Linked DNA regions of Oreochromis niloticus. The protein of the gene in region 3 purifies or fractionates together with the protein of the main gene of each other region. This does not show direct contact. Links are inferred from orthologs where the notes say so. Each region holds a gene or a part of one and is shown on either strand. Other genes may lie near its edges. The genes, in order: strap, gemin4, ddx20 and gemin2.

Region 1 (7,100 bases), on a different chromosome or scaffold from region 3:
TTCTTATGGCCTCTGACAGTGGACTCATCTCTGTGTTTGTCCTGCTAGACCTCAGTGCAGCGTTCAATACTGTACTGTACTTAGAGCAATTAGAGCACGCTGTAGGTATTACAGGTACTGCACGGCAGTGGTTTGTATCATATCTATCTAATAGACTCCAATTTGTTCATGTAAATGGATACACTTCACACTTCCCACACTAAGGTTAATTATGGAGTTCCACAGGGTTCAGTGCTAGGACCAGTTCTGTTTATATTATACATGCTTCCCTTAGGCAGTATCATCAGACGTCATGGCATACATTTTCACTCCTGTGCAGATGACACCCAGTCTCCCTAGGCTGGACTACTGTAATTCATTATTAATGGGCTGCCCTAAAAACTTGTTGAGAAACCTTCAGTTGATCCAAAATATTGATATGGACTAGAAAGAGAGAGCATGTTTCCCCCAAATTGGCTTCTTTTCACTGACTCCCTGTTAAATCTCAAATCTCCTCACAGATCTCATAGTACCGTATCACCCCGCTCTAAGACTGCTGGCTTCCTTGTGGTTCCTTGAACATTTAACAGTGAAATGGGAGACAGAGCCTTATGACATTGACTGGCCCCCATGCTTGCCTGACCCAAATCTGCTAGAACACCTAAGGGACGTCATATTTCACTGCATCTGACACTGCCAGGTTGCACCTCAGACTATCCAGAAGCTCAGTGATGCCCTGGTCCAGGATGATTTCCTGTGTTCTGGGCCACTTAACACAAACTTTAAAATGTGTGAGGGATTGACTGAATTAACACTTAGGAGTGGATTCATTCAATCATGTTCATAGGAAACAAAATTAGCACCAAAAAGTTAAAATTACATGAGAATTAAAGACAACAAACACAACGGTAACTTGTGCTGCTATTAGTACATGCTAACTTAGTCTTAGTTGTTGCTGTTCATAGCAATGAAAACAACTGTACAATATCACAAAAAGTTGATTCTGTTCTGTCTGCATCTGAGGCTGAATCTCATGTGGTTCCTGTAATCAGCCATCTTACGTGCTGTTTGCTCATACTGACGTACACATTTAGGCAGTCCTTGCCAAAGTGGGTTAAAATTTCTTGATGCATGCTAGATGATTGAGCATGCATCAAGACAAACTGTAAAAAACACAAAAATGAATCATGGATTCAGTCCTGCTCCTGTAGGTCATCTCTGTCCTGAATGTATTTTTAAAAAGAAGACAGAAGAGAAACAGAGGCAGTGGAGATGTAGCCTGGTCACTTGAATTTAAGAAATTCCATTTGGAAAACAAAATATTCTCTAAATTAATGGAGTCACATGGACACATATACACATTCTCACAAACTGGTGGATTAATGTTAGCATACAGTAGCTCTCCAATATATGTAAGTCAGAAAAATTACACGATCCCAAATTTATCTCTGAGACTCAATGGAGGTGAATCATTATCACCATTAAGCTCCAGTGTGGATAAAAACCCCATGCAGAATTACATAATTCTATAAAATATATTGAGTAGTAAAGCTGAGTACTTTAAAGTCTTGAAAGACAAACAAACTACACATGGTGAAATTCCCCAATGGTTCTTTAAAACTCTACCAACATTTCTATGGTATGACCCAGCTAAGCCTTGCAGAATGTGCTGTTTCATGTCGATAAATGGCCAGTGCCCATCCATTCTCTTCTGCTTATCCTTATCAGGGTCACAGGGCGCCTATCCCAGCTACCATCACACGAGAGGCGGCGTACACCCTGTACAGGCCACCAGCTTGATGTAGGGTTAGCACAGAAAGAAAGAAACCAGTCGATTAGGAGTGAACACCTAATCACCAGTTAACCTAACCCCATTAATTACATGTCTTTGGACAAACACATGGAAATTCCACCACACCACACTCCGCAAAGATGGTAGGGTCAAATTGGGGTTGTTCTTGCCAGGAGGCAACAGTGCTAACCACTGCACACCTGCCAACTAGCATGAAGGAAACCAAAGTCCGTGGGGAGTATGGTTGCAAAGCTGAAACTTAAAAAGAAGGGGACAACCAGAAGTGTAGCCTGCACCGTTATTTAACTCTAAAAGGGGAAACTTCACCCAGCCTGGACACTGCTACTATATCTGGTATGTGGACTGAGATTTATATAAAGCTCTTCTAGTCTTACTGACCACTCCAAGTGCTTTTCTACAAAAAGCCACATTCACACATTCATATAGCCCTTTATTCTTTGCCATAAATGCTTCATCTTTGACACTCAGACAGTGACCGACTGGTAATTTGGGGAGTTGGTATCCTGCCCAAGGACACTTTAATATGTAGACCTCTCTGATTTACCCTAAGATTGAAGGAAAGCGAATATTAATCTCATGTTCATTACGTGGATACAAACGCAAACAGGTTTATGAGGTGCCAGCGTTGTTGTATTGTATTTAGTGGCTTTCTGCGCTGCCCTCAGTTATGCTAAAGATTTTAGGTAATGTTGATGTCCGGGTTCTGGGGCAGCCTGTCCATGACTGATTGTATTCTACTGTGCGCTTTTCTATCCATGTATACTTTTAGTGCAGTGGCAGTGCATTTGGGATCGTTGCGATACTGAAAAATTATTGTTTTTGATGGAGTTTTTCCAATTTCTTTAAGATATTTTCCATAGATGCAATTAAAGAAATGGGCAGGTGTGGCTCAGGCGGTGGAGTGGGTCAGTGGATTGACTCCTGACTCCTCTAGTCCTACTTGTGCCCACAAGTAGCCTTGGGCAGTGTACTGAATCCTGAGCTGCTCCTGATGCATCTGTTGGAATTTGAGTGTGAGTGAATGTTAAAAAATACTTAGGCATAGATTAAAGCACTGAATGCGTATGTATGGGATTGGGTAAATGAGACTTGGAGCAGGAAGTCCTGTGAGTGCTCAACAACAGCACCATAAAAGTACCAGCCCATGTAATAATAATGTGTTTTGTTTCCAGCAGCCTGCAACACAAGTTCCTAAAGATACAATTTAAACTGGTTCTTTGCCAAGTTGCCTGTTAAGTGTAGTCACGGGGTGCCTTTTTATGCTCGAATGATTCATAGGTCAGTGTTAAATGGATTTAAAAACAAAAACCATTCCTCTGAAAATCGTCAGTTACAAGGACTGGACTGAAGATGAGTGGAAAAAGCTGCCATTGTCCAAAAAAGCCCATGAGAAAGCTAAGAACTACTGAAACCAGTTAAAAATGACAAGAAAACCAGACTCGGAAAACTTGGAAGCATGATATAAAGAAATGGTGGGTGTATGAGGGGAATTTAGTATTTTGGTCAGAAAGTTTGTAGTGTGTGAAATATAATGACTTGATTTAAAAACAGATTAAATAAAGAGCATAAAGCAACCAGCCTGTATTAAAGTACCGTCTTTAATCTTTGACAAGCTAACTGAAGCCATATTGGCTAAAGAGCTGGCATGTCCAGCAGGTGTGACTACAGGTGAAGTGTGCACAGACAGGCTTTTTAATGAACCACCCTGTGAGCTCATAACATCCTCCAGCGGGTGCAGGTGAGAAGGTGCTGTCAGAAACGCCTCACGCTAATCAGACCAGTGCATGGCTTTCGAGTAAGGAGTCATACCCCTGCTGACCCCACCTCCTGCAGCTGCTCCAGCTCCAGCCTTAGCGCCTCCTGCTCGGCCTCCAGGTCGGCGTACTGCTGCTTCAGGCTCTGGTTCTCCTCCAGAACCGCCAGTCCGCACTCCGCCGCCCGGATCTTCTCGCGGTTGGCCTCCGCCAGCTCCCGGGTCAGGCGCTCCACCTCGGCCCGATATTCCTCTACCGTATCCCCGCATCCTGCTCCTCCGGCAGCCATCGCTCGTCTGTCCCTCCCTCTGCCCTCTCCTCCCTGCGGCGGACGAACAGAGAGACCTGCCAGAGGGAGAAAACAAGCCCCACCGCCTCCCCTGGGGGAGTCCCAACGTCCTGCAACTCAAACAGCACCAGCGAGCATCCACGGCTTTCACAGCGGTGCTGCCATCGCAGCGGGAGTATCCTCTGCCATGCGATGCTCGGAAAGATGCGTCCTCTCTTACCCGGTCTCCTCCCTCTGCTTCGGTTTTCTGCTTATTCACCGGCAGCAGGACGCCATCTCTGCCCGCAGCCGTGAAGCAAGGCACCTTCCTCTCTCCCTCCCTGTCATCCTGCTGCACACTGAGCGTTTACAGTAATACATCCCCTGCACGCAGCGCCCTCTGGAGGTAAGAGTATAAATACACTCTTTCTGTTTTATGGAGGCGAACGAAACAAAGAGTTTTAATAGTTTCATTCCTGGTGTGAGATCTGCCGGTACCTCAACACTAAAAACTACAAACTATTCGCATACAGCTGCACGTCTTTTACAAAGCCTTCACGGGCTCTTGAACTGCGCTCATCCAAGTAACACTGACAGTATGTGCTGTGATAATATTACATACATAAGCAATACAAATAAACAATCAATCTCTGTTTGAAATATTAGTATATGTCCTGTTTACAAAGTAGCTTTGATGCCTTCCATGTCATAACGTTTAACTGTGTCTTTTACACGATGAAAAGTCTGAGTTAAAGTCTGAAAACGAAAACGAGCTGACGGGTAGCTCATGAAGAATAGTGGTGGGTAGATCAACCCAGGTATTGATAATAACGATAGATATTTATAGAACATTTAAACTATAGAAGCGGCATTTAATAATTATACATCTAATAAATAATGACACATAGGCATAGGCTACCCCACATAAGCCTCCTTTATAGGGTAAAAGGTATTGGTATTGGTATGGACATTACTGGCCGTTTTTACTTGATATCGGATCGATATCAAAATTTCTCTCAGCACTGCTGAAGAAGCCTTTATTCAATATTTGTTCATTCAAAATTTAAAACGTATCAATGTCCGTTAGAAGCGATGACACTTTTACTATGAAAGGCATCGGAAGTGTTATCATCGTGATTAGCGGAACTGGCGTAACACACCGGCAACATCATCGTCTCTATGGTTGTTTGGCCGTGTCACACGTTGCTAGTTAGTTGCAATGTTGTAGCTATTAGCACGGTAGCCGTTCCTTCGCTGGAAGGTAGAGCTGTTCGACAGACCTACAGTTTATTCTTTCTGATTCACAGTGTGAGCAGCAGCAGCAGCTAACTGCTATCCAACGGAACATAACCTACAAAGCTAGCTTGATATCTTGTTTTCCTTCTACTCCGCTAGTTTTCCTAGCTTGCTAGCTAGCCGCTAGCATCCAACCGTCTCCTCTGTCAGTGCGAACCGTCTCCCGGCCGGCCGGAGGACCATGGCGATGAGACAGACTCCCCTCACCTGCTCCGGTCACACCCGGCCTGTGGTGGACCTGGCCTTCAGTGGAATTACTCCTTATGGATACTTCCTCATCAGCGCCTGCAAGGGTGAGAGGTGTTGGCAGGACTATGAACATAAAGTAGGCTGTGAGAATCTGATGTTACTGCTGGACGTGGTCTGTTGCGGGTTGGGCTTTAAAATGAGCCCTTTATAAAACATGTTCTTCTATTGAGGGACTTTGTGTCTTTGTATTGTTTTCTGGTGTCATTAAGTGTGTCTGTGTGCGCGCGGGGGTGCGTATGTGTGTGAGCCTAAGAGAGAGAGAGAGAGAGGCACATGCGGCTAGCTTAACTACTGATGGTTTACCTTCCTCCTAAAGTTTGATCTCGAATTGTATAACTTTGTTGAAAGAGTATAGAAAAGAGTAAATCCTGCTTATCATTATCTGATCATGTCCTAAAGACCATGATCAGATAATGATCGCCTCTGGGCTGTCAGATGGTATTCCTGCCCTGAGAAAGATGGCGTTTGAAAGCAAGCAGTGTTCCTATTCCTGGATTTCCTAGGTTAAGTTCAGTTCTTTTTTTCTTTGTCTTTTTTTTTTTTTGAAAGAGTCATTTATTAATAGCTTGCATGGAGGATGCTGACTCGCCAACTAATCAGTATTGAAGTGAGCAGTAGTGAAGCTGTTACAACTGAAGGCAAACGTTTTACGAACAGCGAAGGTGTGCCTTCAGTGTCATGGTTGTGCCTAATCGTTTCAGGGTTAAACCAACACATTGCAAAAGATGCAGCTTTTGCTTTGAAGGGAGCATTTTGTTTGCACTGCACTCTTCACTTTCACTACCATTTAGCAACTAATTGGCAAGTTCTTGCAGACAAGTCTGCATGTTCCATACAAACGGTGACGTGGCAGTCTGCTAGCAAAAAAAGCAACTGCAAGGAGGTTTTCAATGCAGTACCAACTCTTTACAACCAATTTTACCTAGCAACAATGAAAAGTCAACCTAGAAGTCAGTGACCCCTGCTTGTCACACAGTCAGCAGGACCTAGCAGACACCAAGGGTGTCTGTGACCTAGCAGACACCCTTATACTTACTGTCGCCTGCCATTACACTATGAATCTCACATCCTCTCTGCTTCTCTCCATCAGATGGCAAGCCCATGTTGCGCCAGGGAGACACAGGGGACTGGATAGGAACGTTTCTGGGTCACAAGGGCGCTGTCTGGGGAGCCACTCTAAACACAGACGCCACCAAAGCAGCGACTGCTGCTGCCGACTTCACAGCGTGAGTTCACACACTCCGACTAAACTAGCCTGAAAGAAGCAGTGATCCTCAGTGCTCCTCTCTGTGGATCATCTGTCATGCATCCATTGGCAGTGTTGTATTGTTGTATGTAATCTGAAACCTCAGTTCATGTGTGATCTGGTCTCATTTGATTTCAAGATAACCTTAAACGGCTGTTTTGCTTCATGCTATGGTATTGATAATCGATCACTTAGATGTGAGCACTAGTACAGGCTCCAGGGACCTTTCTAGCTTGCATATATCAGTGACGTAGCCTACATGCCTTTGTGATAGACATGGTCACCATGGTAACCCTTGCTTTCCCAGCATCCTTCTAAGGAAAAGCTTTACACTGAATAAAGTAAAGCCATTTTTATTAGTGTGATCCTGACCTGAACTCTGTGGCCAATAGAATATCCTGCTGCTCCTATTATTTCATTCTTATTTATCCCTCTGTTCCAGCAAAGCAAGGACAATTCTGCTATTCAACATTAAGACTTTTAGCTAGTGCCAAC
Region 2 (8,008 bases), on a different chromosome or scaffold from region 3:
AAATCATCCATTCTGTTTATTTATCTATATTAATAATTATTTTCTGTAAATAATATAATTTTCTCTGATATATGTTATTTATATTATTTTCTTTACATTTTACACACAACTTTGCAACTTTTTTTAAATTGGGGTTGAACATGCTTTATATGTCAGTTGCTCCCAACAGCAAGCGCGTGTTCCTCAGGTGTGATTTAGCTGCAAGTCTGTATCACTCACCTGAGTGCAGGTAGCGCCGCTTCACATACAACAGCAGGATCACAACAGAGCCCACAACGAGGTACAAAATCCAGTTGGCTGGCTCTGAAACAGAACACACATGAAGCTCTGCTCCTCCCAGGCTAGCTCCTAGTACTATACTGACACTCACCTTCCACAATCAGAGTGAAGCTCTTTGTGATGGGCACTTTCAGGGACTGATGGGAGACGCTGCATGTGAACTTTTTCCCAGAGTCCCTGAGCGCAGCCTGGAGGTAGAAAACACCTGACAGCGAGAAGGTCATGTCCCTATTTTCTTTGTGGCTGAACAGAACACTATGGTTCAGTGGCTTGGGATGTGGAGTGCCTGGATCCTCCTCGTACCAAATTATCTCCACATCCGAGGGTAGTAGCCATTTGCCTCACACTTAACCATCAAGTCCTTGCCCTCCTGCAATAACAGGGTGGTTCCAACATTGAGGGAGACATGGGGAGACTCTGAGGAAAGGAGAGAGAAAAATAAATAGTAATTTCAATACCTAACAGCAGACAATTATTATAGTAACTGGCCTGTTTTATTTAATTCATTTATTTTAATTTAATATTCTTTCAGGTCAAAACTGGTGACATTTAAAAGTTAAAGTTTAGATTTGGTCTGAGTTCCAGAATTATAGGAAGTCAAATTTAGTAAGATGCATTTCAGGTTACACACTTAACAGAATAATAAAAAAAATATATATATATAAAATCTCCCACCCAGGCTCCACTGAGCATGCATTTTTATCACATACAGTAAGTTCAGCACGGACACAAACAGGCACATCAAGCGTTAGATCTGGATAAAGAGAAACATAAACCTGATCATCACTTACACCAATGTATTTTGGTGTAAGTGATGGAAAAACTGAAACTGCAAGTGAATTTCATTAACATCAAACATTGTAAAGATTATAGAACATATAAGTTTTTTGCAACTTTCTATCGATCCGCCAAGGAGGTTCTGTTTTCGGTCTCGTTTATGTGTCAATCTGTCTATAAACATGAACGCTTGAAAAGTTTTAAATGAATTATGATGAACCTTGGAACTGGTGTAGTGGAGTGTAGTGGAGTAACAATCCAACAAATAGATTTAACAGTTCATTAAAATTTGCCTTCCATCCATCAATGTTAGTTGAAAATAGATTCAGAAAGCAAAAAAACAACCTAATAACTAAGAAACTGAGATTCTTAAAAGTGTGCTATATATTGACAGCATATAAAAAGTACCATATAAAGATTTCAAATATCATGTCACATTTGACCTCTTACCTTTCCTTCAAGGTCAATAGATTGATCTGAAGGTCAAAGTAATAAAATGCTATAAAGAGCTATTTAAAAATAGGTTTCTTACTCTCATTGTTTGTACTGACAACATATACAGTACCAGTCAAAGGTTCACAGTTTCTTATGGCAAGCACAATAATCAATCATTACTTTAACAACTGGAGATCAGTCAGTCTGGAAAACTGCTAAAATTTTGAATTTGTCCCCAAGTGCAGTCCCAAAAACCATCAAGCACTACGATGAAACTGGCTCACATGAGGACCGCCCCACGAAAGAAAGACCAAGAGTCACCTCTTCTGCTAAGGATAAATTCATCTGAGTCACCAGCCTCAGAAATCACGAGCTAACAGCACCTCAGATTAGAGCCCAGATAAATGCCACACAGTAGCAGACACATCTCTACATCAGCTGTTCAGTGGAGAGTGTCCGAATCAGGCCTTTGTGGTCAAATAGCTGCTAAGAAAGCACTACTAAGGAAAAGCAACAAGCAAAAGAGATTTGTTTGGGTCAAGAAACACAAGAAATGAACATTAGACCAGTGGAAATCTGTGTTTTGGTCTGATGAGTCCAAATCTGAGATGTTTGGTTCCACCCACCGTCTATTTGTGTGACACAGAAAAGGTGAACAGGTCTCTACATGCATGGTTCCCACTGTGAAGCATGGAGGAGGTGGTGTGATGGTTAGGGGGTGCTTTGCTGGTGTCACTGTTGGGGACTTATTCAAAATGGAAGGCACACTGAACCAGCATGGCTATCACAGCATCCTGTAGCAACATGCCATCCCATCCGGTTTGCTATTAGTTGGACCGTCATTTATTTTTCAAATTAAATGAGAAGGTGTGTCCAAACTTTTGACTGGTAGTATAGACATATAGGGAATGGTCCAAACCTATGTACCTTGAATCTGCAGATATATATCCACCTTGGCGAACAGTGGATTCACGGACACTGAACAAATGTAGGTCCCTTCACTGATCATCGTGGTGGAGGCGAGGATGTAGGAGGCATCTCCAGCCGCAAGGGCATGTAGTCCGACACCGCTCCCCTTGGTCTGTCCTGTGCGCCTGTTGTAACTGAAGAGCTCAGTCCTCTCACCAGGGCGGTGCCTATGCCACTCTACGGTGACCTTTGCACCCTTGTGGTCGACATCAAACTGGCAGTGGAGCTTTTGCTGGAACTTCAGGCGTGCTTTAACTGAGGGAGTCTGTGTTTTGATGACCATGGCGACTGCAGAAACAGATGTGACAAACAACACAAGTGTCCTTTACTCAAATAGGTGACAACCACTTCCTGTATCTATGACATGACAATTATTTGGCCATCCACCATTCCAAGTCAATATAACTATAACTGTCTCTCTCTATTTCTACTCTAATCTCCGAGACACAAACACAGTTTCTTTCAGCACTCTGTCCTTAAATGTCTGCTACTGCAACAGGCAGGCAATTAAATAAAACCCCTAGGAGATAGTCTGTGGGGCTCAACAAAAACACACCATCCTCACATGTGAGTTTACCTGCGGTGGTGAGTACCTCTTTGTCAGCAATGACAGACCAGTTGTGGTAGTCTGGCTGCCCTGGGGGAGGCTGGTCAGAGGGGTGTCTGAGGGAGCCAGCGACTGCGAAGCGGCCCCTGCTGTGTCTGAGGATGCAGGTAAACCAGTGGTTGTACTCCCGGGCACCGAGGACAGGCCAGCGAATGTAAGTGCCCTCTGTGCTGTATCTGTGCAGCTCACACTTCAGCTGCTCTGCCTCCACCCCCTCCACATACTGCAGCAGATCCAACTTTGATCCTAGAAGATGATAAAATAAACACTAACACATTGTTGTTGTTTTTTCAGCCTTCTTCTCATGCAGGCTGCAGTAACTCACTGGTGACCAGGAAAGTGATGGCGTTTGGGTTAACAGGAGCATCTCCTTTCTGACCAAACTGAAGTATAGCCTCTCTGGGGATGACCCGGGTTTCAGTGTGGTTGTCCTTGTTCAAATACAAACGCTCATCAATGAAGTAACAAGGCAGCCACTGGATCTGATGGACACTCCACACACCTGAATGACACGAATACTTCAGTCAGACAGCATAGCCGTTGGAATTCATGCGGTAGACTAGAATATCTATAGTCACTTTTGACCTAACACGCACAAGCTGACCTAAGCTAATCTGTGACAACGTGTTGCACTATAACTCACCTGCACTTAGATACAAGTAAAAAAGTATCCTCAAGATTAAAACCGTCATTCTTTCCCGGTGCCCTCCACTGTCGGACTCCTTGTTGTCTGATGTCCACACAAAGTTTCTCTTGATACTTTCACTTTCATTTCAAAGGAAAAAGAAAAAAGGAGTGCGATTTCTGGCGTGATGAGCAGCTCGAAAACCAAACCTTTAAAATAAAAACCCTTAATCATAATCAAAAAAGTTAATAAAATCCAGAATATATGCTAGAAAAAAAAATAAATAAATAAAAAATCAGGATACAACGTCCTAGTTCTTTTTACAGCGTTCCTGTTTTCATGTTAGACGTAACATTATTGTAGCTGGAGCCTATCCCAGCTGCCACGTGGCCAGAGGTCTGTCTGGTAGGAAGACTGTGGTAGGTGCATATTTTACTTTATCCATTACCACACAAACGGACTCTAAACTGTGAGCGGTACCCGGTGTACTTGGAGTCATGGGGCAAATGTACTCCATACTCAGGATTACTGAAATGTGACTATGTGAACCACCGCACCACACAGTTTAATAAATAGTTCACAGCAGTTCATGAGGAGTCAACAGCTTGCAACAGGTCCTTTTGCTTTTGACTTTATATAAAACTCGTAGTACTGACTTTGCCCTGAGGTGTCGCTGTGAGCGCATGACGACAGCAGCCTTACTAGTCTTTCCGACACCAGAGCTGATGGACGAGAACCATGTCACTTCCTGTTAATCTCGTTTTACAGAAATTCACTATTTAGTTCACCTGAAAGTCCTGAAATAATAGCAGTGAATGTAGCCAAAGCACTCAAATAATTATTTCTCCATGCCCGATTTTAGGTCTAACAATCTACATCATACGTTATTTAGATATTGGGAGCGTAGTTAAACCACAACAAAACCTATCATGCATATGAGAACTGCTTGTGGTGGTCGAAGGTGATTACTGTCTGGAAGTTACTGCCAGAAGTTTTCCGCGGCTGTTTGTTTCATGCCTGAAAGCAAAGTAGTCGATGCATTATGCGGCTCTTGGTGCTGTTTGTATTACACCGAAATGTTGGAATCCCATAAAAAATGTGAAAATGGAGCTATATCTATTAACTATTAAGGAAAATATTTAAAAAAAAACAACAACAACAACAATAACCAAAATTGACATTCTGGGGCTACAGAGCCATAGAACTCTATTCATTCTGCCATATGCTTAGAGCGCCCTCTATGAAACCGGAAATCCACAGAGTGGGAGTTCTTGATCATGAATTCTCTCTGGTTGTACACGCTGATGCTAACAGCGGAAGCGCTTTATACAAAGTTGGTGTCACTCTGATAGAAACCTTTGCTGGGAGGTAGTTTCGTGTTTGCTCTCTACTTCATTGGAACTAAAATTAGCAAACTAGCTTCTTAGCATCCAGGTCCACTCTGCAGCTTTGACACTAATAATGAACAAAGGTAACCGCTACACTTCTCACGTTCTCATACAGAAAACACGAGTCACAATTTCTCTTATGCTGTAGTAAATGTTGCGTGTGCTAAAAGAAAATAACAGCAAACCGTGATTTTTCGCCATAATCAAACCCCCCCCCCCAAAAAAAAAATTAAATAGTATCAGCTTTAGCAGTTTAAGAGGTAATGCTGTTCTCTAACCGCTCTGCTGCATGTGTGTGAGAATGACAGAACAGCGACATTTTATTCTATATATATTTATATAGCTTGTATTAATTCTGTGTGGAACTGAAAAATACACACTAATACCTTATTCTACAGAGTGTGGCTGTTCATATAAAAGATCACGATTTAAAATAATGAGATACAAGTAACCTCTCTGAGCTCAGGCTTCACACCATGTTCCTTCCACTGTCAACTTTAGATGAGCCAGAGTTGAACTTCAGCTTATCCCCAGTCAAAAGCCATTTTCAAAGTGGCATTTTTTGGTCTTAAGATCAAATGTGTTGTTTTTTGCGCATCTTTGCCATTTTAGGCTAATTTAAGGAGCTGAGAGGACAGTTAAAAATTAAAAAAAAAATCAATTTCCTCTGGCAAATATGAGTTTTGATGCCTTTTCTCTTGTTCTTTCAGATTCGACAGTACTTCAGGGAGCTTTCCTCCTGGCTGATAAGCTGTGTTCCCCCTCATGCCTGTCCACCATTCAGAAAGCAGACTGGAGCCGGGTGGGACATGTGATCCTGGAAGCACTCAAAGAAATCTGCAGACAGGATGAAGTCAGTGACTGTCCCAACCGAGCAGCCGAGAGCTGGAAGAAGAGGATGGTTTGTGTTGTGTGGCTGAAGCTGCTGTGCAGAGAGGCTGAGGAGAACGTTGAGTTGGCTTGGAGGGAGAACCCTTTCTTCTCTCTCCAGAACAGCCTCCCTAAGGTCAGCCGTGTCGTCCTGCTGGAGCTGGTGAAGTCAGCAGCAGCTGCGGGTGTTTTTGCCAGTTTCCTCCTGCGTCTTCCTCACGCTCAAATCTGTGCTGAGCTGGAAAGGCTGGTGGAACATGTGAGGAGCGATCCCGTAGGGGAAGACGATATCCGACTCCTTCTGGAGGTTTGGTGGGAGCTGTGGAAAGGCAGAGCGGAAGAGAAGGTTGGAGAAGAAGAGAGCATAGAGAAGATGTTTGCCAGCCAGCTTGCTCACCTCTCCTCTGAGTCCTCCAGTCTGTCCCCTCAGGCTGCAAAGAGGTTAAAGTTAGACACGCCAGATTCAGCAGATATTCTGCACATTCTCCTTCACGCGCTTAAAGGCATGAAATGTCACATATCCTCAGCTGACCTCTGCTTTCAGTCCTTATCCATTTCCCTCGATGCTCTTTACACAACCTTCCTGATAGACCAAAACGTGGTGCTTCCAGCTAAAGAGAAGTTGGACTGTTTGTGTAAAATCCTCCAAGCCAGAGAGGAGAACATGGAGAAGCTGAGTCCTGAAATGATTCAGGAAGCTCTGAAAGACTTGCGTGCTTCTCACACACCTTCTCAGTTTCAGCTGTGCCAGATGAAGCTGAGTGAAGCCCTGAAGATTATCACAGAGCTTGCACAGTTTTGGCAAAGCAGTGTTCTCAATCAATGTGACCACTCCAGTCCTAGTTACTCTGCTTTCCTGCTAGAACAAAGCATCCAGAGGGTCCTGGCTTCTCTAGAGGAAGCACCCGGAGCTGGGACTGACGACTTTGAAGGAGAGAATGATACACTCAGAGGTGTGCTGAAGTCACTGTCCCTCCCTGTAGCAGAGAGCAGCCCTGAAGTGAGCGCAGAGGTCGCTGCTGTCATTATCACCCATCACCTGGAAGACTCTGAGGACTTTGCAGTGTTGTTTGCCAGTGAGCCATCATGGGCAGAACGTGCGGATCGCTGGCTCGACTGCCTGGAAAAAAACCAGGGGGCCTTCCGGCAGCACGGTACCCTCATGAGCCTCGCCTCCACCCTAATGAGCAGACTCCATAGCAAGAGCGCTAACGTGAAGCAGTGCCACAAACTGCTGAAAATCGCTTCAGGTATTTTCTCCACACTCACATTAGAAGACCAGAACAAAGCGTTGGCTGCCATGCTGAGATTATCCAGCAGGGGGTTCTTCGAGTGCTCTGTACCTGCTGCTCTAGCTGACGGGTTTGAACAGGAGCTCAACATGGCCTTCAATTGCATCATTCAGGGGGCGGGCGGAGCTTCAGCGGGAGCTTCACAGGGCAACCTGACTACGGCAGCCTCTCTAGTTGCAAGAGTAGCCTTTCAGAACCCCGAAGCCACTTTGAGGTCCTGCTGTCATTCGGCTGTTTTTAACAAAGGAGCTTTCTCTCTAATGGCTAAGATCCTGGAACAGCTGCCAGGACTCAGAGACCAGAGGGGAAGAAGAAATGGAGGGAGAAAAAAGGTGGTGTGCAATTTACTTGGCAAGTGTTTACAGGACGTGATCCAGACCAAGTCACTGTCAGCAACTGAAAAAGAACAGTTCCTCAAGTTCCTGAGTCTGCTCATGGAGCCCGTCACTTCAGCTGAGGGAGAAGGAAAGAGGGAAAGCATTCTGTCACCTCAGGAAGTCGTGAACACCTTTGTCCTGCCTAACCTCTCAGCTACAGGTGAGTCTCACATGTTTATGTTTACCACAACCTACATTAGCTAATTTCTTAACATTTTACAGTTGTGATCAAAAGTTTAGAGCCACTCATCATGGATATGAATATCATGGCAAGTCTGGGCTTTTAACATTTTCAGGGTGGAATGATTGTACAGCATACATGTGTAATGACTTTGAAAAAAACAAAACAAGAATTGGATCCACAAGTTTTAATTTATTTTCACTGATCC
Region 3 (7,334 bases):
CAAACAAACTGTGAGTTGTGCAGTCTCAATAGTTCTTGATTAATGTAACTGTATTTTTATTCTTTAAAAGAGATAAAAAGCAATGACACCATCTACAATATCAATGACAGAGGACAAGAAAGATGTTGTGTTGTTGTCTGAATACATAAAAGGAAAAGAAGCCTGCCTGAACAGGGAAATCTTTTTTTTTTTTATTACTGCTGCTTTTATTACTGTTATGTTTTATGCCTTAATACATAGATTTGTGCAACCTTCTTCCTCATTGCATCATTTTTACTCTCTGATATTTTGTTTACGTTTGTGAAAACCATCTTGCAGTACATTGCAGAAGTTGTCTTGACTTTGTTCTGATAATCAGGATGCGCCTCTGGAGTGATAATAATAATAATTTCTACACATTTCTATTCCAAAGATTTTTTAGGCACAATTTTCTTGGGGGTCTTGATTACAGACGCAACAGTGGTCTCGTTCTCAGATGTTTGCGGCTCGGAGGACCAGGGGTTCCATCCACACAGAACCGCAGCAACAGTGTAGCCTCGAAACTGGAAACACACACACAAACACAGGATCATGGTTGGTCATGAACATACAGCATGAGCCTGAATCCCTCTTTGTGTTTGTTTGTATGTGTGAATTTCAGTGTACTTTAAACCAGCTTACCTGTCTGTTCATGAAAATGTATATGATGGGGTTGTAGACAGTGCTGCTTTTTGCAAAGTACACAGGAATGGTAGCGATGACAGGGTCGACATATAGACTGGAGTCTATCATGACAGCAAGTGCAAGTGCGGCATATGGCAGCCAGGTGACTAGGAAGGCCAGCACCATCACCACTACCATGCGCGCCACCTGCACCTCTACACGACTTGTGCTTCCTGTTTCAGATACCTGCAGCTTGGTCACCTAGGAAAAACATTCAAGGGCAAAGGACTCCATTATGTTTTCAATACAATCAACAAAAATATAAGGTGTGCGCAGCCTCTTTGTTGCTCACCTGGCGGAGAGTCCATAAAAGCCGCGAGTAAGAAACCATGACGACAGAAAAGGGCAAGGCAAAGCAAAGGAAGAAGAATATTATCATGTAGGACATGTCCCCAACATCACGGCTATGCCATTTAGGAGCACAGGAGGTTTTGACCCCCTCCAACTCAAAAGTTCCCCACCCAAACAGAGGTGGAGTGCTCCACACAAATGACCACACCCAGGACAGTACCACTCCAGCAACTGCATGCCTGAGGACAACAGAGATGGTGTCTGACATGCTTGGTACAACAAGGAACATTCCCAAGTGAGACCTTGATGGTCACTACTGTACCTGGTCTGGAAGAGGACCGCACCCATGGGATAACACACCACTACGTAACGTTCAACAGAAATGACTGCAACTGTGCACAGACTCGCTATACCTGCAATAAAGAGAAAGTAATTCATGACTTTTGCGTTCTAAGTGTTGCATTTGTGCACACTGTTGAGTGCTACATTTCAAGGAAGAAATGCTAATCTTATTTTAATGACATTAACTATAAATATATGGACTATAGTACATAATGTAACTTCAAACAAAAACAGTTCCTTCAAAATATCTTAAATAATTCACTTTAAGTAACTTTTTTAAGCTCAAAAAGTTCAAAAGCGGTCATTAGAAAATGAAAGTTTCCACAGGACTGCGTGCATTTGAAATACTAAGCAAGGTCTGGACTTTGACCAGGTCACAACAGCACCTTGACTCTTTTCTTTTTTCAGCCATTCTGTTGTAGATTTGCTGCTGTGCTTGGGATCATTTATCTGTGGCATGACCACATTGTGGCCAAGCTTTAACTGTCAGACTGACATTTGTCTCAACAATACTTTGGTATACAGCTGCAAAACAAACACAAATCATCACCTCTGAACCACCGTGCTTAACAGCTGGTATGAGGTGTTTGTGCCGATGTGCTGTATTTGGTTTTCACCTCTCTGCAATAGATCCAGACATCTCAAATATAGTCTTATCTGTCCAAAGGACACTGTTCCAGATCTTGTGTTTTTTTGATTGTTTATTCAGATACAGCTTTGCAAATCTGACATAATATAATTAAATTCTCTTCAGATGCTTTTACTTGAGGTACTTTTACTTGTACTAGAATACCTTATTGTATTTCTTCTTTTATTTATGTGAGGAAAAAGAAAATGTAGACTCACCGAAAAAGGAAACAGCAAAGGCTTCTAACACACAGCCCACACGTCCCAGGTTGAAGTATCCCATGGCGCTGGTCACTGTGGTGGGCAGGCCTCCAAACACAGCACAGCCCAGGTCACAAACAGCTAGGTTAACCAGGGCATAGCTGAGTGGCTGCCTTAGCTGTCTGTGCTTCACCGTCACCACAATCACCACGACATTGAGGATGATCCCTGCCACAGAGAACACACCCATGATAACGGCCAGAATTGTGTAACCAGTCCGGGACAAGAGCTCCGTGTTGGCTGAGCTGTTAGATGATGAAGAGTTTCTGTGGAAGGCAGCACTCTCCATTTTGCTCTGTGAAGATCAGGAGAAGAATCTGGTGACAGTATGAAAAACCTCAGTGATGCCTGGTAAAAAACAACAAACAAAAAAGTGTCAGATCCCACACATCTAACTCTAAAATGGCCACATTGTCAGCAAGGCAAATAAAATAGCAAGTTCAGGTATGTGTTTAGCATTTTTTTTAATCATTTGATAAATAATGTAGCAATAAGAACAACTACAAAACTGTTCAACAGATACTGCGTGCTTGATATTCTGAGAGCGAAGCGAGGCCCTCTAAATAAGCCCAGTAAGAGGAGAGGAGGCCGTAGATGACTTGCAATTCTCAGAAAACAAAATCCGTCGAGCCGGATTGTGGAGAGAATAATTCTGTCTGATAGCCTCTAAGACTGCACTTTCCATGATTGCTCAATTTACAGCTGCTCGTGAGTAATGATGCAAAACGTTCATACAGGATCGACCGATATGTCTACAGAATTCCTGCTGGTTTGTCACACATTTTGTAGCCAATAATGGAATAAACTGGTAATTTATGGATACCTGTCCTTGCCTTTTTATGTACTCTCATTAAAAACTAATGAGACGTTAGCCTGATTGAGTCACTTAATGACACAAACTGGTTAACTCGTGGCTTATTTGAGAATGAGCTCAGTGTCAGTGTCTCTGTTTATAATCATCCTTAATACCTACACAACTCCTAATGAATGAATGAATGAATCCATAAAGCTAAAAAAGAAAAGGTGCAATAACAGAAAAAAATGACATTGTGATTTGTTGAATTAAATTCACCTTGAAGATCTCATTTACATTTTCTGCCCAACAGATCTATGGATCCATCCATAAGCACTTTACTAATCACTAATATATTGCTCCCCAAAACTATATGTGATTACATTTGCAATTTCTTGGCATGCTGAAAAAACTCAATGAATAATTCCTCTTTTTTAAGAGTTAAGACACTAACTAACATTGGCTGTAACTAATAACCTCATCAAAAGACAGTTTCCTGCACTGAGCTGTTAAAGGCCATCAATAAGAACTTTTGGGTTATTGACTTATTGCCATAAATAAATACTCCTGTACTGTTAATGCAAAGAAATCTCAACATGTAATTCTCCAACCAGTGGCAATCCATTATTTCCATTGTCTGAGACCGAACTCTATCCTCCAAGAAGATAATGCTCAAACTCACAGAATGAGGTTTATCAGAAACTATCTTCAGAATTGAAGAGTGAGGATGATAGAATGGCCTGCCTGCAGTCCTGACATCAACCCCATCGAACACTTGTGGTGTCAGCTTGGGTGTGCTGTTTGTGCCAGAGTCACCAACACTGACACATTGGCTGACTTGCAACAAATGCTGCTTAAAGAATGGGATACCATCCCACAGCAGTGCGTGACCAAGCTGGTGACCAGCATGAGGAGGAGGTACCAGATGGTTCTTCCACATGCTACCAAATGAATAAACCATTAAATTGCTAATATGCATCTTCAAACTTCAAAAATACAGTCCCATAAACTGCACCAAACAAGATTCAATAGCAGAATACTTTGTTTGGCATTGGGAGAGAAGATTTTGCAAGTTTTTCATGGACACAGCCCACATAATCAACTCTGCTGCTCAGCCCACAAATGCATTTTCCTTAAAAATTTAGCACCACTTAGGGGGAAATAAACAGGGTTTCCAACCATATAAGATTTATTGCCAAAAAGTGTGTAATCGACCAATCACACCCAGATGATTGCGCAGAGAAATTAATTCCCCTCCGCATCGCTAGAGGGCGCTAAAGCGCAGCTGTGTCTCTGCTTTTTAACCGGGTCACCGGCAGTAAACAGTACAGCAAACATGGCTACCTCCGTCAGGAAAGCAGCTCACGATATCGAAGCGCGAAAGCGGACCGAAGACGTGATTCTGTCGGAGGGGATCGACTTCGGTTCCTTGCTGCTGTCTCAGCCCGTGTTGGACGGACTGTCCGCCGCGGGATTTCAGAAGCCGTCTCCGATCCAGCTCAAGGCGATCCCGCTCGGCCGCTGCGGACTCGGTGGGTGCAAAACAAAACTGCGGGAGGGTTCACATGTGTGTGTGTTGGGGGTAGGAAAAATAAAGTTTTCAGTGTATAAAACTTATAATTGATTTTATAAAAAGAGCAACAAAATACCTTATGTATGCACGTGAAATCAAATCACTAACTTACATTAGTGCATTACATACATCAGGGATCAGAATCTGTTATCTATCCATCATATATAATTTTGCATGTCTGCTCAGATACATGACTGGCACTATAGTTAAAAATGATTATTGTTATTATTATTATCATCATCATCATCATTATTTTATGTTATTTTTTTTTTACAACTTTTTAAAGTATTTTAATTTAAATTTTTTGTTGCAAAGCATATTGGTCATACATATTTAGACGCAAATGATTAATGTGATGTGATATATTATGCCTCAAATCTATCTATCCATTCATTATCGTCCGCTTATGCATCTCCTCATAAATATGAAATGAAAAACTATTGTTATAATTATTATTACTGCAATCAAAAAACACACTTATGGGCAAATTTATGGACCTAAAACTTGGGTGGCTGTGGTTAATCAGGTAGAGCATCTACTAACTGGGAGGTTGGCGGTTCGATTCCCAGCTCCTCTAGGCTACATGTGAAGTGTCTTTGGGTGAAACGCTGAACCCAGACTTGCTTCACGCTTGACTGGTAAATCCAAATCTTTGCTTCCCGGTTCAGCTAACTCTTCATCTCACTGGTCCAGTAAAGTCGGCACATTACTTCGATACAGCACCAATCTGCCTGCCTATTTCCGTTTTATCCAGACACATGAACACCTTTGTCGGGAGGTAATATTATCTGGAAATAGAAACACATGAGAGCTAAAAGATAAAAGGTAGTTTATCTAATTTGACTTCCTCCCATGAGCTACCAGCAGCATCTCCTTACAACGTGCTCCTCAGAAAGACTTTAGCTTTCCTTCATGTAGGACAACTCATAACTGTCCCTGAGGTAAATTAATAAAAATACTTCCCTGTCCTTTTGGCCACTAGTGCAAAACTGACATTTGGACTTATTAAAAGAACATAATGTAAAAAGGTTATTACATGTGATATCATGGCAGTAGAGACAAAGCATCGTGTATCTGATCTAAAAATCTGTTGGTACAATAGCTGGGTGTGTTAGAGTTAGGTCTGTTAGTAAGTGGACACTGATGCTTTTTTGTGAATTTTAAATCAAGTTGTCAAAATGTATTTGAAGGGAAAACTTTCAGCTTTAATTCAGAGGTTTGACAAAAGTATGAACAGTAAGACCCCAGACCCTAAAGAGTTGCATCAACTGTTCAGGAAGAATTTCCACTTTCTTTGCCCTCTGAAACTCTCGGGTTGCTTCTGCAGGATGCTCTGAGTCATTTTCCATTTGCATAGTTTTGCAGCACTTGGATGAATCTGAATTCCCCTTTACACTTCAAGGTACATCCTGCTACCAGCAATCACATCATCAATAAACACTCAAGGCCCAGATTCACAGGCAGCCATGCATCCCTGTGATTTCACAGTCATAGTTCGTAACATTAACTCCACTCTCTTTGATAGATGGTGCCTCTGATTCCCGAACACTTAATGCAATACTTTTGTTGAACCCCTTGAATTAAGCTGAAAGTCACATCTTCATCAAATCCACTGTGATGTGTACACAGGGAAAAAGAATATAAACTTTATGGACCTAACTGCAGAGATCTTCTATATTATTAGTTTAGAAAAGAGCTTAATATGGCCCCGAGACTTCAGCTGTAATCCAAATATTTTTTTACTCTGAATAATTCAATCATGTATTACATTTTAATGTAGTTTCTTAAAACATTTCTTTATACAATATCAAATTACATGTTTTCAGCTTCTATGTCAATAATATATATTTCATCTGTGCAATATTCTGGATATTTATAATTGAGCTATATATTAGAGTTTCTTCTATTTTGTGAACTTTGTTATATTATCGTATAATTTCATTTAGTTAAGTCTGTTACTGTTGTTATTGTCTATCTACTGTAACTGTACTACACTCAGACTGTACACTGACTTTTGTTGTAAACTTTCCTCAAAGCCATGGTCAAATGAGAACAAATCTTTTTGTTTTAAAGGATATTAAAAAGTATTTTATTTTGAAAAGCTCGAAACAACTACATTAGTACTACTAAAGTACTTCTTTAGTCCTTCTTTTGACTATCATAGATATCACAACTGTTCATCGTGATTCTGAATCACTCTTTGGGATCAAATGTGTTTATTGCCTTTAAACATTTTACTGCCTTTACGAGGTACAAATTCAGAATAGTTGCTTTCCACCTGGAGGTTGCCTGTGTGTTGGAAAAGCTCTCGGCTGCAGCGGTGATGCAGAATGTGCTTAATTTCATTGTACTTGAGGTAAACACTTGTTAATTTAAACCATGGTAGGAGACAATTGATTTGATGCTGAGGATTAGGCAGCAATACTTCACCCAGTCATGGTAATTAACTGCTGATGCCAAAACTGTCATTTGCCAGCCCTGTTGTGCATCGCTCACTGAGTCTCTCCTTTTAGATTTGATTGTACAGGCCAAGTCTGGGACAGGAAAGACATGCGTGTTCTGCACCATCGCCCTGGACTCTCTGGTCCTGGAGAATCCTTCAACCCAGGTCAGTATAATATTTGATTATGAGGATATGACCTACGTTTGCACTCGGACGGTTAAAGTAAAACATCATCAGAAGAGGGAAAGGGGAAGTTTTATTATTTAATCATTTCATGACCAGCAGATGGCCTTCTGCTGAGT
Region 4 (7,150 bases), on a different chromosome or scaffold from region 3:
AATGGTATCATCACCCTGAACAATTTAGACACTGGTGGTTTAAAAAAAAAAAAAAAAAACATTTAAGGGGCTCTCTTTACACAGAGTTCCATATAACAAAAATACAGAGAACCTTACCTGGCAACAAGACAGATGAGCAGGTTGAGGGCGGGCAGTTTATCATCTTCCTGGCTGTCCTGTGAAGTCATGCAAGCAGGGAAAAGACTATCAGAGTAAATAAAATCCCATCAAATCTCAACAAAGAACTAGAAAAACATGGCATGCTGTGGCCGTTTCAAGCATGGAGTGATAGCACATAGAGATAGTGCTTTACAGGAGATGGTAGGATTGTGGCCTACCAACGTGCTGCGGAGCTGGGCGCATCTCCGGGCGAGCTGTCGGATGGATGAGTGAGCTTCAGGCAACAGAGGCTTCTCCAAGCAGGCCAATAAAGCATACAACCAGCGTCCCTGAAACAAGAAGACAGACTGCAAACTCAAGTATTTCACAATAACTGCAGCCAATAAACCATCACCTTCTATATCTGAAACATAAGACAGAGGCTGAAGAAATGTTTGGTTTCATGATATCTGTGAGGAATGCATTCATAGTCAGCTCATATCTATCTTGAATGCAGCACAGGATCACTATAAATGCGTGTGGAGTTCGGAACCAGCATAAAAATGTGTCGCTAATACATCAGACTCACCAACTGTGGAACAAATTCTCGTTCCTCGAACCAGCCGATGAGGATTTCCAACACCATCAGCACTGTGGACTGTGGACAGGTGGGAAAACACAAACACACACATCGTCTAATCAGGCTTCGACTGGTTTAGAACATCTTGAATGTCTACAGAGGGATCGTTTACCTGGTTTAGTCTGCTGATGATGCTTAGGAAGGGAGGGAACCCCATCTGAACAGACAGAGAAATGCTGAGGTAAATAGAGCAGGACATATTTTGGGTCTGAAAAGTAATGCAGATGCAGAAGTGCTTTCACTCTAAATAAAAACACTTCCATTTACATAGAAATCTGTGGAAAAATGGCCCACAACTCCCTGATGACTCAGTCACTAGTTTCAGCTCACACTGAATACAAAATGAAGTGATTTTTTTTAAATTATTGGCATTATTAGGAAGATTTTCAATCACAGGTTGTTACTTGTAAGTGTGTGGTGTCAGGTCCAGTTTCAAAACCTCATTATCCAATGGGTGATAGACATGACCGACAGCTTCTTTACTGACAAAAAATCTTACAGATTGTATTCATGATGACACAAAACATTGAGATATAGCCATTACATATATAACCTTGCTATAGTCCAGTGCTGGCTCCTGTTCTGCATCTGTGTGGGTGGATGAAGTGCCCAGATAGACCTTCTCTCCTAAACAAAACCTCTTCCAACCCTCCTCATCCGTTAGCTTTGGCTGTAACACACAAATACGCGCATACATAAAATTTTAACATAAATTCTGTTTTCAAGTTTGCCTCTTGGAGAAAGACAGAGGGATTTATTAGGTTATTAGAGGAAAGCATTGCATGCTGAAGCATCAAATTTACACATTATCACATCACCATCAGCACGTTGTCATCTAGAGTCTGGCTGGTCCAGTGTTTCCTGTGCCTTGTGATACTCTAAAGGGAAAAAAATGTTGTAAAAGTTCATAAATTGTCAAATATCCACTTGTACAGATTTGTGCGGATTTGGACCTACAAAAAGTTTTAGTGAATTCTGTTAGGCTGTGCTATTGTATAATATCATAACAGCAAAAAGGCTCTTACCTGTCTGATTTCAGAGAAATTGCTGACTTGCTGTTGTTGCCATCTTAGACTTGGGGAGAAACCCACTGGAGCAGCATGACACCCTGCCACCTAAAAACCAGAAAACAACCCCACAAAAAATGTAACTGAGAAATAATCAGAACAGGTGATGCATTATTGAAATGTATTTTGTTTTATTTTGTATAGCATCTTCTTTTCTTTGCTAAATGAACTTCTGTATACTGTTTACATGATCAACGTAAAAATTGAACACAGCACAACATTTTTCAGAGCCTATCATTCATTTCTAACTGTGCAATGAAAACTATGAAACGATACTGAGAAAGATTCATACAGGTGTGCTCAGAAGTTTCCATCCACTCATCGTGGGTATGAATGTTTTGACTCTTTGTGGATTACAGAAAATCAAAAGTAAATTAAAACTTGTGCACCCAATTCTTGTTTTTCAAGGTTATTGAAGTGAATGCTTTAAAATCATTCCATCCTGAAAAAAAAAAAGAAAAATTCAAAGAAATCATTTAAAAGCCCAACATTTTTAGGCCATTCACATGCATGATGAGTGGGACTGACTGCTCACATCAAGGTAAAAATACTTGAAATACTTTGTTTTGCAGACACCACACAGTAACAAAGCTAATGAACCCTCTCACTATCAAGGTCAGGGGTTTGTAATTTTCTTTAATTTGTCATACACCTGGAGCATCAACTGGTCTCAATACATTTGCCTCTCAGTTTACTTACAGATACATTCACTGTTTGCTTCTTCCTTAGTTTTTTTGGGTCAATCTGAGCGACCACCACCTCTGGGCACAATGAAGCCTCCAGCCTGTCCAAAAGGAAAAAAGTTCATTGAAGCAGCACGACCACCTCAACTAATATATTAACACACCAAAGAGACAACAGGCAAAGAGAATCTAAGAGTTAATTACACGCGAGTATTAATAAGAGGTGTGTTCTTTAGGTTGGGATGCACTTACTGGACCTGTCGGAGGTACTCCTGGGGGTTTCTCGGCGGTCCGCTTAGGTCCAGGTCCTCACCGGTACCGGATCCACACTCCATGGGCAGCAGCCTCGGCATTAACTCCTCTACGTCTGACTTCATTGTGACTGAATGTGTAAGCTCGGCTAGCTTTTAGCTAAATGAAGCAGTCAAGCTCAATTAAAAATACGGACTCGCAACGGACCAAAACACTAACCTTTTACCAAGAGTAAACACAACCAGACTAGACCGCCATCTCTCTCGCAAAACAAACGCACAGTGATGACGTCGTCTTTGTGCGCGCGTTTGCCTTGTTGCCACAGCAACAGACCAGCTGTCAGTCCTGGAGAAAGGTCGAAAATAACAGAATGGGTCTGTTTTTAGTTGCCATGGCGTTTACCCGGAACCTCGTTTATGTGTGTACGCATTAAAATCTCAATTAAATGTCAATTAAAGCAATTTTCCATTAAAATTAAGTCTTGTAACGAAATAGAAACCTTTGACCAGCGAACTGATAATATTTGGTATTGCAAGCAGGCCTGAGATGTTAATGATTATCCCCATACTGGCCTTATATCTTATCTCAGCTGTTTCATTTAGTATTGAGTCTTCACACAGCAGCAGCTCAGAGGCAATGTTCACTTGCCAGCACAACGGGCCTGAGTTATTTCCACCCCACTATGGACATTTACTACTAATAGCCTCCAGTTAAAAGTCAGATAATCATGGCTATTTTTCAGGTCTCTAGGTTCCTGTGGTCACTGGGTGCAGTTTTAGTGATTTTACCCCACTTAAATCTCGGATTATTGTCTGACTACAAGATCTGCGGAGACTCTGAGTGTCAAAGTAAGTTCAAAATCTCCTGATAGCTCCTTAAATTAATGACGATAATGATGGTCACCTCACCCCTGTGTTCTATTGCTGTGGTGTGTGCAGGGCTCCTAAGCAGAGTGCAGGCCATAAGGGACCACCGTGGTAAGGACTGTCGTTTCCTGAGCTTCAGGCAAGGAGACACAATCTTTGTTTACCACAAATTGACTGGAAAGAGGAATGACCTGTGGGCAGGCAGTGTATGTGTCATATTTCAATCTTTTTTTCCTTTCTGTGCTTCCCTAAAGCTTCATTCATGCCAGGTGCTCACTTAGAGACAGACAGAAAGAAAACCTAATCCCTTGACCCCTGCACTGTAATACTGTGAGGTTTGGGGCAGTTTGCTGCCAGGGTGTTTCCCTAGGATGAAAGGGCAACCTCAAATCAATCAGTACAAACTTGTGTGATGACCTTTATCCTTTGATTGATGGGATTGGTCTTTTTCAGAATAACAGTGCCCCAATTCTCTGTGCAAAGGAAGAATGAATTATTTGATTATTATAAAAGATTATGTTTGCAGTCATCATCAATGCAGAAACACCAAATGACAGAGCATCTTTTTAAAGAATAATCTGTTACGACAAATGTTGAGATTTCTGTGTTTCTTCAAGGTAGAAAGAAGAAAAATGCTGACAGCTCCTTTGTTTCCTTTTTTATTTCAGATTGACAAAGAGTTTGGATATTTTCCAAAGGACACAGTGCAAGAAGAGGAGGTTTATACTACTGTGGAGAAAGTAGTGGAAACACAGGTAATTTCATCATTCACATGTAAACAAACTTTAAGTATTAAAAAGTATTGTAATTATTAGTATTATTTCTATTTTGTCTTCCTTGTGTCCTTCCGTAAGAATTACAATTTTGCCCTTTTTCTGCAGAAATCTGATTTCTTCTGCATGAATGAGTTTGGCTCCACTTATCTGGATATGGATGATGATGATGATGACGATGATGATTATATTGATCAGAAAATCCAAATCCAGGAGCCAGAAACCACCCAAATTACCCAAAGCACTGATGACACGAAAGCAGAAAGCCACTTAACAACCTCAGACTCCCCAGTTTCTGCACAGGAAGAAGAAGAACAAGAAGAGGATCAGAATAAAAATGTTGGTGGTTCCGGAGCTGGGTTTCAAGAGGAGACACATGAGATTCCTGTGGTTCCTAATCAACAAGGTGGGTCTCCCTCCTCTTCCTGGCTTGGTTCTTCAGTGACAGGATGGTTAGGTCTGGGTAAAGAGGACCAACCTGACAGTGTGGCTGAAGGGGAGATAGAAGATAAGAGGAAAGAAACTCAGGCTGAAACTTCGCTCACGTCCTCTGTGACAGGTTGGCTGGGCTTCGGAGGAAATGGAAAACCTGACAATGGCAAAGAAAGTGTGAAATTTAAAGAAGAAACTGCTGAATCGTTAACTTCAACAATGACTGGGTGGCTCAGCTTTGGAGGTGGAAGCAAAAGTGAGACAGAAGAGGAACAAGAAGCAGATGAAGACAAAGAACCCACAGAGAAATTCAGGAGCAGGAGGATGTCCTTGGACCTTGAAGGCAGCCAGTTGCAGGAAGAGGAGAAGAAAGAGATGGGGACTTTAGGTTGGCTAGGGAATGGGCTGTCAAGCACGCTGGGGTTTGGTTTGACCAGTCAGGAGTCAGGACAGGAGAAGGAGAAGGAGGAGAAGGTGCAGGCTAATTCTTGGTTAAACATGGAGATTGGAGGTATTCTAGGTTTCAGGAAAGATAAAGTTGGAGATGATGAAAACAAAGAAAGTGAATCTAAGGAGGTAGAAATAGTCACAACTTTAGAGCAACCAACAGGATCGCAGAATGTGGATCACAGTGAACCAGAGGAGGAAATTATTAAGACAAGCAATAATTCAAAGGAGGTGGAAGAACTGTCAGAAGACCAAAATACCCCTACAGAACCCCTTAATGGTCACAGTGTTGATAGCAACACAGATACTTCATACAGTGGGATAAACAGTGATTTCCATGAAGAGGCTGAACCCACAGTTGATCACAAAGATATTTCTCCTGATAGGAAGTTTGAAGAGGAATCTCAGGCTTTAGCAGAATCACTCTCCAGTAAAGATGATGATGACAATATAGAAAAAAGCAAAATTAATGAGGACAGATCTGCAGAAAGGGAAGGTGAAGACGCTGAACATATGGATAACAGCAGGGAGCCAGGAGAGGAAGAAAGAAAAACTCTGAGTGCTATCAGTCAGGATTCTATAACACCATCTGAAAGCATTTTGGGCCCTGATCACATTTCAGTGGATTTAAAGTCAAAGTCTGTGCTGGTCAAGGAAGATGAAAAAGACCAGATGGAGAACAAGAAATCAGAAAGTGTGGAGGAGGAAGGGGCAGAAATCACAAATCAAACTGATAACACAGAAGAAGAAACCACAGAATTGGCTCTTAAAATTGCCAGGGGTGACGATAATAAAGGAGAAGTCAGTAATGAGGATACAGATTTATCTGGAACTCAGACTGAGGAGCTGAACGGTGATGTAGAAGACAGTAGCAAAGATAGCCAGCCTCACTTACCGTCATCTATGGAGAAAAACAATCCAGTTCCAGCTGAGAATGAAAGTTTTACTCCTTATAGTGCTGAAACAAATGATGACAATTCAGATACAATAGCTCTTTTTGATAATAACACAGAAGCAGAGACAGTTCATGGGGAGTTAAAGCAGGAGGGAGAAACTCTGAGCTCACAGGAATTGGATTCACAGCATAACCCTGTCAGAAGCACTCAAACTATCCCAAAGGATGACAGAGGAACAAGTGGACTAGCCACAGATCCCTCTGTGTCTCCAGTGATGGAGCATATTGACAATGAAAGTGACAGTGATGCAGGCAAGCTAAAGGAAACTGTTGAAGACAACATAAACGAGTCCCAGCAGGTTAAAATAGAGATAGAGGCATCAGGCACTGAAGAAGATTTAAATGAAAATGACCTGAAGTCAGCGATAAGCTCTGAATTAGAGGCTGAAAAAGAGGAGGAGTCAAAGGATGGGGGGAATCAAGGGGTGATGAAGGTGGAGGATAACGAGGAACTGGAGGATTTAAAGGAGATAAAAGAGCGAAAGGAAGATGAGAAGGAGAGTAATGAGGCAGAAGTGGAGAGCATGCAGGGAGAGGTGGAAGACCTAAAGGAGGCTAACAAACATTTGAATACAGAGGAGGAAAAACACCCCAAGGTGGAGGAGTTAATGGAAGAAGGGGAACTGGTGGGTCTAGAGGGAAAAGAGAAGAAAGAAGGTGAAGGGAAAATGGTGAAAGAGCAAAAGGAAGATGAGGAAGAAAAGGAGACTAATGAGGCAGAAGTGGAGAGTATGCAGGGGGAGATGGGAGAGCTAAAGGAGGATAGAAAACAGCTGCAGATGGAAGAGTTACCAGAGAAGGAAAAAGAGGACAAGGTGGAGAAGTTACAGAGGGAAGAAGAATTGGAGGGTGTACAGGAAAAAGAGAAGAAAGATGAAGAGGGAAAAACAGTGCAGTCTTCTTATTATGAGGCAAAGATCCTGAGCACCATGAACA

What was found.
Region 1: the proteins of ddx20 (region 3) and strap purify together in Homo sapiens (affinity purification with mass spectrometry; 3 studies listed by BioGRID and IntAct, counting the BioPlex papers as one, with this or other methods). This does not show direct contact. The link is inferred for Oreochromis niloticus from reciprocal best matches to the Homo sapiens genes DDX20 and STRAP.
Region 2: the proteins of ddx20 (region 3) and gemin4 purify together in Homo sapiens (co-immunoprecipitation; 7 studies listed by BioGRID and IntAct, counting the BioPlex papers as one, with this or other methods). This does not show direct contact. The link is inferred for Oreochromis niloticus from reciprocal best matches to the Homo sapiens genes DDX20 and GEMIN4.
Region 4: the proteins of ddx20 (region 3) and gemin2 purify together in Homo sapiens (affinity purification with mass spectrometry; 6 studies listed by BioGRID and IntAct, counting the BioPlex papers as one, with this or other methods). This does not show direct contact. The link is inferred for Oreochromis niloticus from reciprocal best matches to the Homo sapiens genes DDX20 and GEMIN2.

Annotation. Positions count from the first base shown.
Region 1 is NC_031980.2:31,843,022-31,850,121, reverse strand, and holds the start of strap (serine-threonine kinase receptor-associated protein), read left to right. Parts: upstream 1-4,082; 5' UTR 4,083-4,220; intron 4,221-4,916; exon of another isoform or gene 4,917-5,075; intron 5,076-5,209; 5' UTR 5,210-5,291; coding exon 5,292-5,403; intron 5,404-6,449; coding exon 6,450-6,585; intron 6,586-7,100. Other genes in the region: protein bicaudal D homolog 1, read right to left, coding at 3,617-3,835. UniProt on the Homo sapiens protein: The SMN complex catalyzes the assembly of small nuclear ribonucleoproteins (snRNPs), the building blocks of the spliceosome, and thereby plays an important role in the splicing of cellular pre-mRNAs.
Region 2 is NC_031979.2:1,528,703-1,536,710, reverse strand, and holds the start of gemin4 (gem-associated protein 4), read left to right. Parts: upstream 1-5,001; 5' UTR 5,002-5,153; coding exon 5,154-5,163; intron 5,164-5,790; coding exon 5,791-7,779; intron 7,780-8,008. UniProt on the Homo sapiens protein: The SMN complex catalyzes the assembly of small nuclear ribonucleoproteins (snRNPs), the building blocks of the spliceosome, and thereby plays an important role in the splicing of cellular pre-mRNAs.
Region 3 is NC_031984.2:17,471,887-17,479,220, forward strand, and holds the start of ddx20 (putative ATP-dependent RNA helicase DDX20), read left to right. Parts: upstream 1-4,332; 5' UTR 4,333-4,352; coding exon 4,353-4,548; intron 4,549-7,102; coding exon 7,103-7,197; intron 7,198-7,334. Other genes in the region: parapinopsina (parapinopsin a), read right to left, coding at 402-542, 661-903, 995-1,232, 1,316-1,406, 2,182-2,512.
Region 4 is NC_031983.2:25,158,486-25,165,635, reverse strand, and holds the start of gemin2 (gem-associated protein 2), read right to left. Parts: upstream 3,023-7,150; 5' UTR 2,867-3,022; coding exon 2,742-2,866; intron 2,591-2,741; coding exon 2,506-2,590; intron 1,855-2,505; coding exon 1,765-1,854; intron 1,618-1,764; coding exon 1,558-1,617; intron 1,410-1,557; coding exon 1,293-1,409; intron 897-1,292; coding exon 852-896; intron 758-851; coding exon 689-757; intron 450-688; coding exon 339-449; intron 177-338; coding exon 118-176; intron 1-117. Other genes in the region: mia2 (cTAGE family member 5), read left to right, coding at 3,133-3,159, 3,484-3,589, 3,680-3,813, 4,276-4,362, 4,489-7,150. UniProt on the Homo sapiens protein: The SMN complex catalyzes the assembly of small nuclear ribonucleoproteins (snRNPs), the building blocks of the spliceosome, and thereby plays an important role in the splicing of cellular pre-mRNAs.